Nothobranchius furzeri: one gene and its partners. The protein of the gene in region 1 interacts with the protein of each later gene in a biochemical or structural test. Links are inferred from orthologs where the notes say so. Each region holds a gene or a part of one and is shown in the gene's direction. Other genes may lie near its edges. The genes, in order: bmpr1aa, bmp4 and bmp7b.

The links.
Region 2: the proteins of bmpr1aa (region 1) and bmp4 form a complex in vitro, tested with the Homo sapiens proteins (3 studies listed by BioGRID and IntAct, with this or other methods). The link is inferred for Nothobranchius furzeri from reciprocal best matches to the Homo sapiens genes BMPR1A and BMP4.
Region 3: the proteins of bmpr1aa (region 1) and bmp7b form a complex in vitro, tested with the Homo sapiens proteins (2 studies listed by BioGRID). The link is inferred for Nothobranchius furzeri from reciprocal best matches to the Homo sapiens genes BMPR1A and BMP7.

The regions. Positions count from the first base shown.
Region 1 is NC_091752.1:44,595,703-44,599,877, reverse strand, and holds the end of bmpr1aa (bone morphogenetic protein receptor, type IAa), read left to right. Parts: intron 1-728; coding exon 729-864; intron 865-1,189; coding exon 1,190-1,382; intron 1,383-1,463; coding exon 1,464-1,761; intron 1,762-1,898; coding exon 1,899-2,074; intron 2,075-2,730; coding exon 2,731-2,861; intron 2,862-2,969; coding exon 2,970-3,095; 3' UTR 3,096-3,517; downstream 3,518-4,175. UniProt on the Homo sapiens protein: On ligand binding, forms a receptor complex consisting of two type II and two type I transmembrane serine/threonine kinases.
Region 2 is NC_091758.1:25,529,092-25,531,651, reverse strand, and holds the end of bmp4 (bone morphogenetic protein 4), read left to right. Parts: intron 1-720; coding exon 721-1,574; 3' UTR 1,575-1,957; downstream 1,958-2,560.
Region 3 is NC_091755.1:56,414,122-56,417,781, reverse strand, and holds the end of bmp7b (bone morphogenetic protein 7b), read left to right. Parts: intron 1-721; coding exon 722-798; intron 799-2,481; coding exon 2,482-2,592; intron 2,593-2,883; coding exon 2,884-3,033; 3' UTR 3,034-3,172; downstream 3,173-3,660. UniProt on the Homo sapiens protein: Growth factor of the TGF-beta superfamily that plays important role in various biological processes, including embryogenesis, hematopoiesis, neurogenesis and skeletal morphogenesis.

The DNA.
Region 1 (4,175 bases):
GTAACATCATGTAACAACAGCATGTAACATCATGTAACAACAGCATGTAACATCGTGTAACAACAGCATGTAACATCGTGTAACAACAGCATGTAACATCGTGTAACAACAGCATCATTTCACACCAGTTAACCAAATCCGGAAAAGAACATATGTAATATCATCTGGTAACAACGTCAGGAAAACAACAGGACTTTTCTTGTTATCTTGAAGATGTTTTACCTCTCGTCCAAGAGACGGCTTCATGTCTAGAGCTTATTGTCAGCAGGAGTCTGCAAGTCTTATTTTTATTACTTTTTCTTTAAAAAGGGCTTCTGTGGGTACCAGTGACCAAGTTGGTGTGACTGGGTGAATGATACACTGTAGATCAAAGCGCTTTGGAGTCCTCTGGCTCTGAAAGGTCTTATACAAGTGCAGGTCATTTATCATTTACATTTATTTTAATATTGAAGATGTTCGATTGATTAAAGATGGATATCAGAACCCCAATAATCCAGGATTAGAACTCTTCAGATATTAAATAATTTTATGATTAAACCAACAATCAGAACTAAAATCATCTAATAATTCTCCTCAAAACCAACGTTATTCATATTTATTATACATAAACACACACCTAAATGCCCATATCAGGAAAAAAGACCAGATCCAAACATTTCCTGCAGATGTTTTTAGGACTTACTCGTGTGTGTGTGTGTGCGTGTGTGTGTGTGTGTGTGTTTTAACAGGTACAAGCTGCAGACTGAACGTGAACGATATCCCAAAGACACAGAACAGGAAGTGTTCATCAGAGATGGCGAGTCACTCAAAGACCTCATTCATCAGTCACAGAGCTCTGGCAGCGGTTCGGGGCTCCCCCTGCTGGTAGGAACAAAACAAGACGCTCATCTCCTCCATATTAGCAAAACTTGGTTATAAAACCTAATATATGATATGTATATAGTCTAATCCTTGTCATACAGCAGTAAAAAGTGGGTTTATATTCTTGGTGTAATTAAACAAGAGCAAAAAAGTTACTTAACTCAAACTGAAGCATTAAAAAACACACGTTATAAAGTCTGGAAACATAAAGAAAACGTAAAACAAAAGCATCACAGCTGCTTAGAAGAGAAAAAGACGATCAGGAGGAAATGCAGAAGTAACAGTGGCGGATGAAGACATGATATTCTGTGTTATCTGTGCTTCTCAGGTGCAGCGGACCATTGCCAAGCAGATCCAGATGGTTCGTCAGATTGGGAAAGGTCGCTATGGAGAGGTGTGGTTGGGACGGTGGAGGGGCGAGAAGGTAGCTGTCAAAGTCTTCTTCACCCGTGAAGAGGCCAGCTGGTTCCGTGAGACAGAGATCTACCAGACAGTTCTGATGAGACACGAGAACATCCTTGGTAGTCTTGCCACATCAGTTCTAAAGCAGATGATCAGACAACTGTGACATTTATGCTCATCTGTTAACTTTCATCCTGCAGGGTTCATCGCTGCAGACATCAAAGGTTCGGATGCCTCCACGCAGCTCTTCCTCATCACAGACTACCATGAGAGCGGCTCCCTGTACGACTACCTGAAGCTGACCACGCTGGACGTTCAGGTTCTGCTGCGGCTGGCCTACTCGGTGGCCTGCGGCCTCTGCCACCTGCACACAGAGATCTATGGCACGCAGGGCAAGCCAGCCATCGCCCACCGGGACCTGAAGACCAAGAACATCCTGGTGAAGAAGAACGGCACCTGCTGCATTGCCGACCTCGGTCTCGCCGTCAAATACAACAGGTGATTTTGTTGTTTTCCTCTGATATCCTAACCTGTAAAGGTGTCAAATCTGATGTAGTGTTTGAATGAAAGACTAAGCTGCTGTAAACGTATTTCAGTCCTTACTAAATTATAAAAGCTTCTTCGGCTTGCCATAGTGACACAAACGAGGTGGACATCCCTCTGAGCACCCGGGTGGGGACGAGGCGCTACATGGCCCCTGAGGTCCTGGATGAGAGCCTCAACAAGAACCACTTCCAGGCATACATCATGGCGGACATCTACAGCTATGGCCTTGTTGTCTGGGAGATGACCAGGCGCTGCATCACCGGAGGTACACACACACACACACACACACACACACACACACACACACACACACACACACACACACACACACACACACACACACACACACACACACAACTGTGCTTTTCACAGAGCATACCTTATATTTATTTTTATTTTATTGACCTAAAAATCACTTTGAAACATGCCAGTCGAGGTTGCCCAAAGTTCTGAACACTGATACCAAAGTTCAAGGTTTTTATATTATTCTCTTTTGTTTTTTTGTTTTTTTTGGGGGGGCACTGCACCACCATGCCTTACTCATTCAGACCATTACTAAAATGGAACATTAGGTACACAGATTAACAACAACAACATTTTAAAAAAACACTGAAAATGGATGTTCTGTCCATTTTGGTCACTCTTGATAAAAAATGTAAATGTTCCGCTCTGGCTTGTATTTCATTGCCATCATACATCCTAGCAGACCTCACCACCAGCTCCCCTGAGCACTGCTCATGGCTCTGGACACTTGACCCTGGGTTGGTTACTTCTAACACCTGTCTTTCATACACATAATTCTGTCTCACATCTACGTCCTGTCTCATCGGCAGAGCCAACGGGCTCGGAAACCCCCGACTTCCTTGTACATATTTGGTCTTCTGTGTATCAGCTGAGTGAGCCTGCTTTCTCTCTGCTCAGGTATTGTGGAGGACTACCAGCTGCCGTATTATGACATGGTGCCCTCTGACCCCTCCTATGAGGACATGTTGGAGGTGGTTTGTGTTAAAGGACTTCGGCCTACTGTGTCCAATCGCTGGAACAGCGATGAGGTGAGACTCCTCTGTAGATGGAATGAATCCCAATGAGTCACCTAGATGTTGCCTTCAGTGACTGTCAGAGGACCAAACCAGTTTCATTAATTTCTGTTGTTTCCACAGTGCCTTCGAGCCATGCTGAAGCTGATGTCAGAGTGCTGGGCCCATAACCCCGCCTCCCGCCTTACAATCCTCAGAGTGAAGAAGACGCTTGCCAAGATGGTGGAGTCCCAGGACATCAAAATCTGACCGTCCTTCCCTTCCAGACTTACTTGAGTCGCTCCACCCGGACCGGATCAGACTGGATAGGTTCTGCCATGCTGCCTCTTTCATCTCGAGGAGAAACTGGGAGATAAAACAGGGCCTTCCTCAGAGTTGAACTGTGTACCTCCTTCTCTTTTTTTTTTTTTTTTTTGTCTTCCTCATTGGGAGTGAGACAGCCAGGCGTGATGCTTTCTATGAAAGCCAAACGAGACGATAACAAATCTTCTTACTGAGATGAGAGGAACAGACACATTTTGTTTTTCCTCTTCAGGACTGAGCCGTAAAGGAACCAATCTCCATCTTCAGTAGGAACTTTCTAAGGTACTCTGAGAACATGTGACCTGAACGTGTAAATAAATGTTCTACCTGAGATCTCTGGAGTCCAGCTGACTCCAACAGGAGACGTCCTCCGTCCTGTTACAGTCTGTTCATTTCCTGTCCATGTGTCTCAGATCAAGTGGTACGTGTAGGGGTGGGGTTCCTTATAAAGCCCCGCCCACCCTTCTAGTTAATCATATATGGTTGCGGGCTCTTAAGCGTTGAACTGCGATGCTTCTATTTAAGATGTGAGATTTGAATTAAAACCAGCAGACAAACTAAAGTGGGTTAAATTACCTACAGTATAGTTAGCAGCTGCTGCTCCTTCACCATCACCTGCAGTTTCATCACCACAAAGGTGCTAACACATCAGGACTAGTTGATCATTTAGCCTGGTTCAGCACACTTACAGTTACAGCCCTGTTCACCTATTAAACACTCCATGTGTTGGACTTGATATGCCAACAGAAGTAAAGCTGTTCAGCGCAGTCAGGCTAGCAGTTCCCCTTTGCTACCAGTCATTGTGCTAAGCTAACCTCTAAAGTGAAAAGTTTAGCAGGACGCAGTGCTTGCTGTGGCTCTGTGTGCATGTGCACACGTCTCTATAAGGAAGGAAAGTGCCCTGAGTAGGAAAAATCTAATGATAAATGTTAAAAGTTTTGTTTGTACAGCATCTGGTTTGGTGCCTTATGAATTTACCAAGGAAATGAAAAACTCGTATTCCGTCTGTCCAAGTTACCAATTTTT
Region 2 (2,560 bases), on another chromosome or scaffold:
GCAGACAAAACAGATGATTGCATTTTGAAAATGTTTCAGTTCTCGGACGCACAGCATTCCCACGCAATGCCTCCTTTTCCCAGGGGCTTCAGATAAATGAGATTCTACTGTATTGTCTGACTCCTTAATGATTATTCATGATGAAAATGATAAATGTCTTAAGTGGACAAACTGCAGAGCTAATCAAAAGCACAGCAGGTTTTAATAATGAGAACCACCTGGGTAAGATTAGGGCCTGGGTGTGAAATAACAGGGGTGGATTGAGCAGGAAAATAGTAGACACAACATTCCTTTCCCCAACAATGGTGATCTTGCCAGAAATCTGCAGACTGTGAGTGGAACAGGGAGCCTCCACTGTGTTTATGCTGTAGTTGTGGTACGTTAATCACCACCCTCCTTGTAATTTATGTCTCAGCAAAGTGCTCAAAGAATGGCATTGAGAGAAGGGCAGGAAAATCTTTAAAGGCAGGTGAAGAAGCCTGAAGGTTATGTATTTAGTCTCAGGGGCCTTGAGAAGTGTGAAAAAATGTTATTTTGTGTCAATCAAATCTAGCTGAGAATGAGAAAGTGGAGGATTAGGTGGGATCCAAACACCAGGAAGGTGCTGATCCCCGGAACCCTAAAGTACAAAGAGCAGCCTTTAACATGTTGTATAGGTGACCTTTCTGCACATCTGATCTGTACAAACATCCCACACTTATTCCTGTTGCTCATTTTCAGAGCACATGGAGAGGATCCATGAGGTGGGTGATGGAGAATCCATGCCGATCCGCTTCCTGTTCAACCTCAGCGGCATTCCAGAGGATGAGCTGCTGTCGTCCGCAGAACTAAGGCTCTACCGGCATCAGATTGATGAGGCCATCGCGGACAGCCTCTCAGACAACCGGGGCCTCCACCGGATAAATGTTTACGAGGTGCTGAAAGCCCCGCGGCCTGGGCAGCTCATCACGCAGCTTCTGGATACGCGGCTCGTGCACCACAATGTGTCACAATGGGAGAGCTTCGACGTCAGCCCCGCCGTGCTGCGCTGGACTCGCGAGGGCCTCTCTAATCACGGACTGGCTGTGGAGGTTCTGCACCTCAACCAGACTCCGAGTCACCAGGGCCGCCATGTCCGTGTCAGCCGCTCTGTACACCAAAAACCCGGAGAGGATTGGGAGCAGCTACGCCCTCTTCTGGTTACTTTTGGTCATGACGGAAAGGGTCACCCGCTAACCCGGCGGACCAAACGCAGCCCCACCAAAAAGGGCGGTAAGCGCAAACGCAGCTGCCGGCGTCACTCACTGTATGTGGACTTTAGCGATGTAAACTGGAATGACTGGATAGTGGCGCCCCCTGGCTACCAGGCCTTTTACTGCCACGGGGATTGCCCGTTTCCTCTTGCAGATCATTTAAACTCAACCAACCACGCCATTGTTCAAACACTGGTGAACTCTGTGAACAGCAACATTCCCAAGGCCTGCTGTGTACCAACTGAGCTCAGCGCCATCTCCATGCTCTACCTAGACGAACACGACAAGGTGGTCCTAAAAAACTATCAGGAAATGGTGGTAGAGGGCTGTGGCTGCCGCTAGCGCGCAAACTCACTACAACCTGGACTCAAAGTGGCAACTCAAACAAAATAATGTGGAAGCCCTTCCCCCCCAAAAAAATTACAACTTCTTGTCTCCCAAAATGTTCACTTGGACCCTTATTTATAACTTTTATGAGGTGTACGTTTGTCTCACTAATTTGTTTCTTGACAATATGATCATATATTTTGACAAAATATATATATTTATATCTACATATAAAAAATAAATTGAATTCTTATTTTAAACACAAAAAAGCTGTTTTACTTGTCATAATGTATATTAGATTGTCTTTTTTGACGGAGAAAATGGTAAAAACTCTTTATTTACTGGTAATATTTACTACTTTGATGTTATGCAACAAAATAAAACATGGATATCTTTCACATTTAGTTATATTATAACATGCACTCTTTGTATTTGCTAAAAAAAATGTAGCTCTGTTTTTATAATCAATTGGTCAAATTATTAAAATGGAATATTTTAGCCCCCAAAAATCCCACTATTTAACTTAGATCCATAGCCATTTAAAAAGAAGGGAAAAAGTGAGAAAAATCTTATTTACTTTTTTATAATAATCCTGGATAACAGGGTTATAATGTAGTATAACAGGGTAACAATAATGTATTAATGCTTAATTTGTGCTTCAAAACTGCCAACATTTATTTCATGCTTTAATAAGATGCAAGGTCTAAAAGGTGCTATACAAAGTGGTCAGAATAGTTACATTTTGGTACAATTTCCTAATTTTAAATGATTGTTTGTGATAGAAAAAAACACTTGTGACTTAAATAATTTTAGCTCTATTTTATAAAACTAGTTTTTTGTCATCTTTGCCTAAATTATTTCAGAAAAAAATTAAAATTGGTTTATTCTAAGGTCTTCCCCTATTACATGAATATGTGTAAAGAAACTTTTATTTTGGAATCTTCACAACCCTTAGGTGCCCCCCCCCCCCAAAATAAAAAAATAAAAATAAAAAGCTTTGA
Region 3 (3,660 bases), on another chromosome or scaffold:
CACAAATATCCAAGTATTACACTTCAGATGGCAATGAAACATTTAACGTATATTGCAGGCCTTTGTCCAGGAGGTGTGAGAGAGCTGTGTTTATGTGAAACATTAGACTGTACAGCTTCAAATATCCATCTGCTGTCTTTGTTTATTTACTCAAGCATTACACAGCATTTGGGGCCAAGCTCCCTGCATGAAGGTAAGGCACCGCAGGCTTTTATGGCAGAGCACATCTGTGGCGTGCTGTGGGGCAACCGGGGTCCAGACACATGGGCCAAAATGGGACTGTTTGGAACTGTGGATAGCAGTGGTCTTTAGCTTCATGATGAGAACCAGTCCCTCATAATCACTTCCAATGTGAACTCCTTTCAAGCACTAATGTACCACAGAGCCTCCATGGTCACCAGAGGAGCAGAAAGATACTGCTGGATAGAAAACAGATATGTCTTTTTTTTTGCACTTGGTAAAAAGAAAGAAGGAATGCTGAAATGAGTCTTCAGTTATGAATTTTACCAAACTCTATATTATTGTACAGATGTGTCTCAGACACTCAAATCCCAGCAATGCTACGGTTTGTTTGAAATCCTCACTAAAATGTGGAAGTGATTTTCTTCAACCAATAATTATTGTTAATTTCTTTTTGGATAACAGTGGCTTGAAGGTTAATTCTTCATCATAGTGTAATGGTTTACCTGCCCTAAAACATTGTTTTCTCTCTGTTCCCCAGAAAACAGCAGTTCTGATCAGATGCAGGCGTGTAAGAAGCATGAGCTTTACGTCAGTTTCAAAGACTTGAAATGGCAGGTACAGAACCACTTCATCAAAGACACTTCTTCTTTCACAACGAATGAATAAAATGTTTTGTAATATCAAAAAGATAAGAAAAATGCCACCAAAAGATACTTTGGACAAACAATGCATCAAGTATCTGGAAAAAGGCCATTTTCACCTGATACTTGGTACTTTTTCATTTACAAGCAGAGGTATGAGTCTGCAATATGGAACATTTTAAATAAAAAGCTATATTGTTAAACAATAGATACCTTCAAGGGGCGTTTAGAGGGGTGCAGAATGAATGTCCTTTAAAAGCTACATTTAAAAAAATAATAATCAAATTTTAATTTTGTCGGCACAACGCTAAGCTTATGTTTACATCTACCAGCCTCTAGGGGGAACTGTTGCACTGAAAGGTCCACTCAGCAAGAGGCTAGGACTGTGTAAAATGGCGGCCCTGTCAAGTCAAGCAGCTGATTCTGAGCCCAGAAGATGTTCTAATGTTAAATACTATTGTAAAGGAAACTTATTAGTAGAAATGAGCCCTTACCCTGTACGATATGCCACTGGACATGGTGCTGGCTGGTCCCATAACGTTTCAGCAGTGAACCAACACCCCAAAGGCTGGAAAATGTGTTCTGTTGTTGCAATACCACCTCTCAACACCAGATGTCACCAGAGTGTCCGTGCTCCATATTCAAATTTTAAGATGTTTTCTTGATGCATAAGAATGTCCCAAAGTGGACACCATAGCTCAGGTCTCTAAGTGACAGGGTGCATGTCAATTTCAAGGCGCCTGGCCTCGCAAGACATTTCTTGATGCATAAGAATGTCCCAAAGTGGACACCATAGCTCAGGTCTCTAAGTGACAGGGTGCATGTCAGTTTGAAGGCGCCTGGCCTCGCAAGACATTGCCTAGCGAGGCCAGGTGCCTTGCTTTTGAGAACACTGTCCTTCCTTGGTCAAAGAAAACAGCTAAATGGAACAGACTTGCATCACGTGACCGCAGCTTCTGTGGCAGTCATGTGACACGGGAGATAACGTTATATTTTATACGTAAAAGTTTCATTATAATATATAATGAGCCTTTCACTTTAAAAATTGAGTATATATTTGTCAAATTAAATATGTAAGCGGGTTACTATACCTGCTAACCACCGAAGCAGCAGCTACTAGCATCTAACCCACCATAGCTAACTTCTTTGGATCTAAATAAAATATTTCAGATACCAGCCCAATAGCTACAATTAGTTGACTTACATTTAAACTTGAAATTTGCCCCCGAAGTAGCTGCCGGCTTCTCTTCCATCCTTTTGAAAATACTGCGGTGTATTCTGGGAAATGTTTGACCAAGGCTAGGCTACAAGACACCTTCCGTGTATCCTTGCTCAGCTAGCTAAACGGCTAACGAACGGAGAACAGATGCCTTGGTAGAACATGAACATTGGAACACGCCTTGGCGGTTCCTGATGATGTATCTCCTAGGCAACCGGGAAGGGACCAAGACATTAAGGCAAGCTTCCTTGGCAAGAGTCATGACTGGGTCGTCTCAGTGTGAAAACTCGTTTACATGAACGATGAAAATAGTAACCATCATTTTGCAGACATGCTAAAGTGTAAGCTACGTGGGTTAGCACTAAAGGTTCCTATTGAGTGAATTTATACTAACCAACCAGTCAGATGAAATACCTTGTCTGCCCCATCCACCCACAGGACTGGATCATTGCTCCAGATGGATATGCAGCATATTACTGCGAAGGAGAGTGCGCCTTCCCTCTGAACTCCTACATGAATGCCACAAACCATGCCATTATGCAAACACTTGTGAGTAACCACAAAACCAAAGAATAAAATGCAAAAGATTTGTTTAGACTTTATTAATCTCGCCAGGTGATAAAACATTTGATAAATGCAGATTATATTTTTACTCTGTGGTTTCAGGTCACAACATTCTGTGTTTAATAAGCCTGAAAGTTTCCAGTGTGATCAGTCTTATTTATTTATTTTTTTATTGTCACACGACACCTAACAAATGCCACACATTTACGGTGATCTATAAAACAAAGTGAATTGCTAAAATATAACTTTAATATCTGATTTTCCTTTGATTTCCAGGTTAATTTCATCAATCCCAAAACGGTTCCTAAACCCTGCTGTGTCCCCACACAGCTCAACGCCATCTCCGTGCTCTACTACGATGACAGCTCCAACGTAATCCTCAAGAAATACCGCAACATGGTGGTCAGAGCTTGTGGCTGCCACTAGGACCGTCAGCGCCCTCACCAGAACACGTACTGTACATACAGATGGGGATGGGGGGTGCACTGTGTCAAAAAGCTGCAAAAACACACCGCACAGAGTGGTTTGTGCATCTCGTGTTGATGATGTGTGACCAAACAGGACTTCGACGAACTTAAAGGGACAGTTCACCTCAACATTAAAGGCTGGATTGTATGCTGAAAAAAAGAATGTAATAAACACAAATACAACCAAATTATCTCTGTTAACAGCTGTACATACTGGCTTTATACAAATATCCTGATAGATTTTGTAATAAATGTCACAAACTGGCATGTAGTAACATATCTGCATGTTTATAGTTCCTATCAGTAATGCTTTTATTTATTTTACTTCTGATTATTTCCTCTGTGTGCGTGTGTGTATATATATATATATATATATATATATATATATATATATATATATATATATATATATACATATATATACATATATATATATGTATATATACATATATATATTAGATTAGTAGCCATTTTGTGCATATTGCAAAAAAATTGCACATTTTAGTATGTGCAGGTATTTTTATGTATAATATGATGACATTTCTATTATTTTCTTCCTGAATCATCTAGTAATTTTCCTCAACCT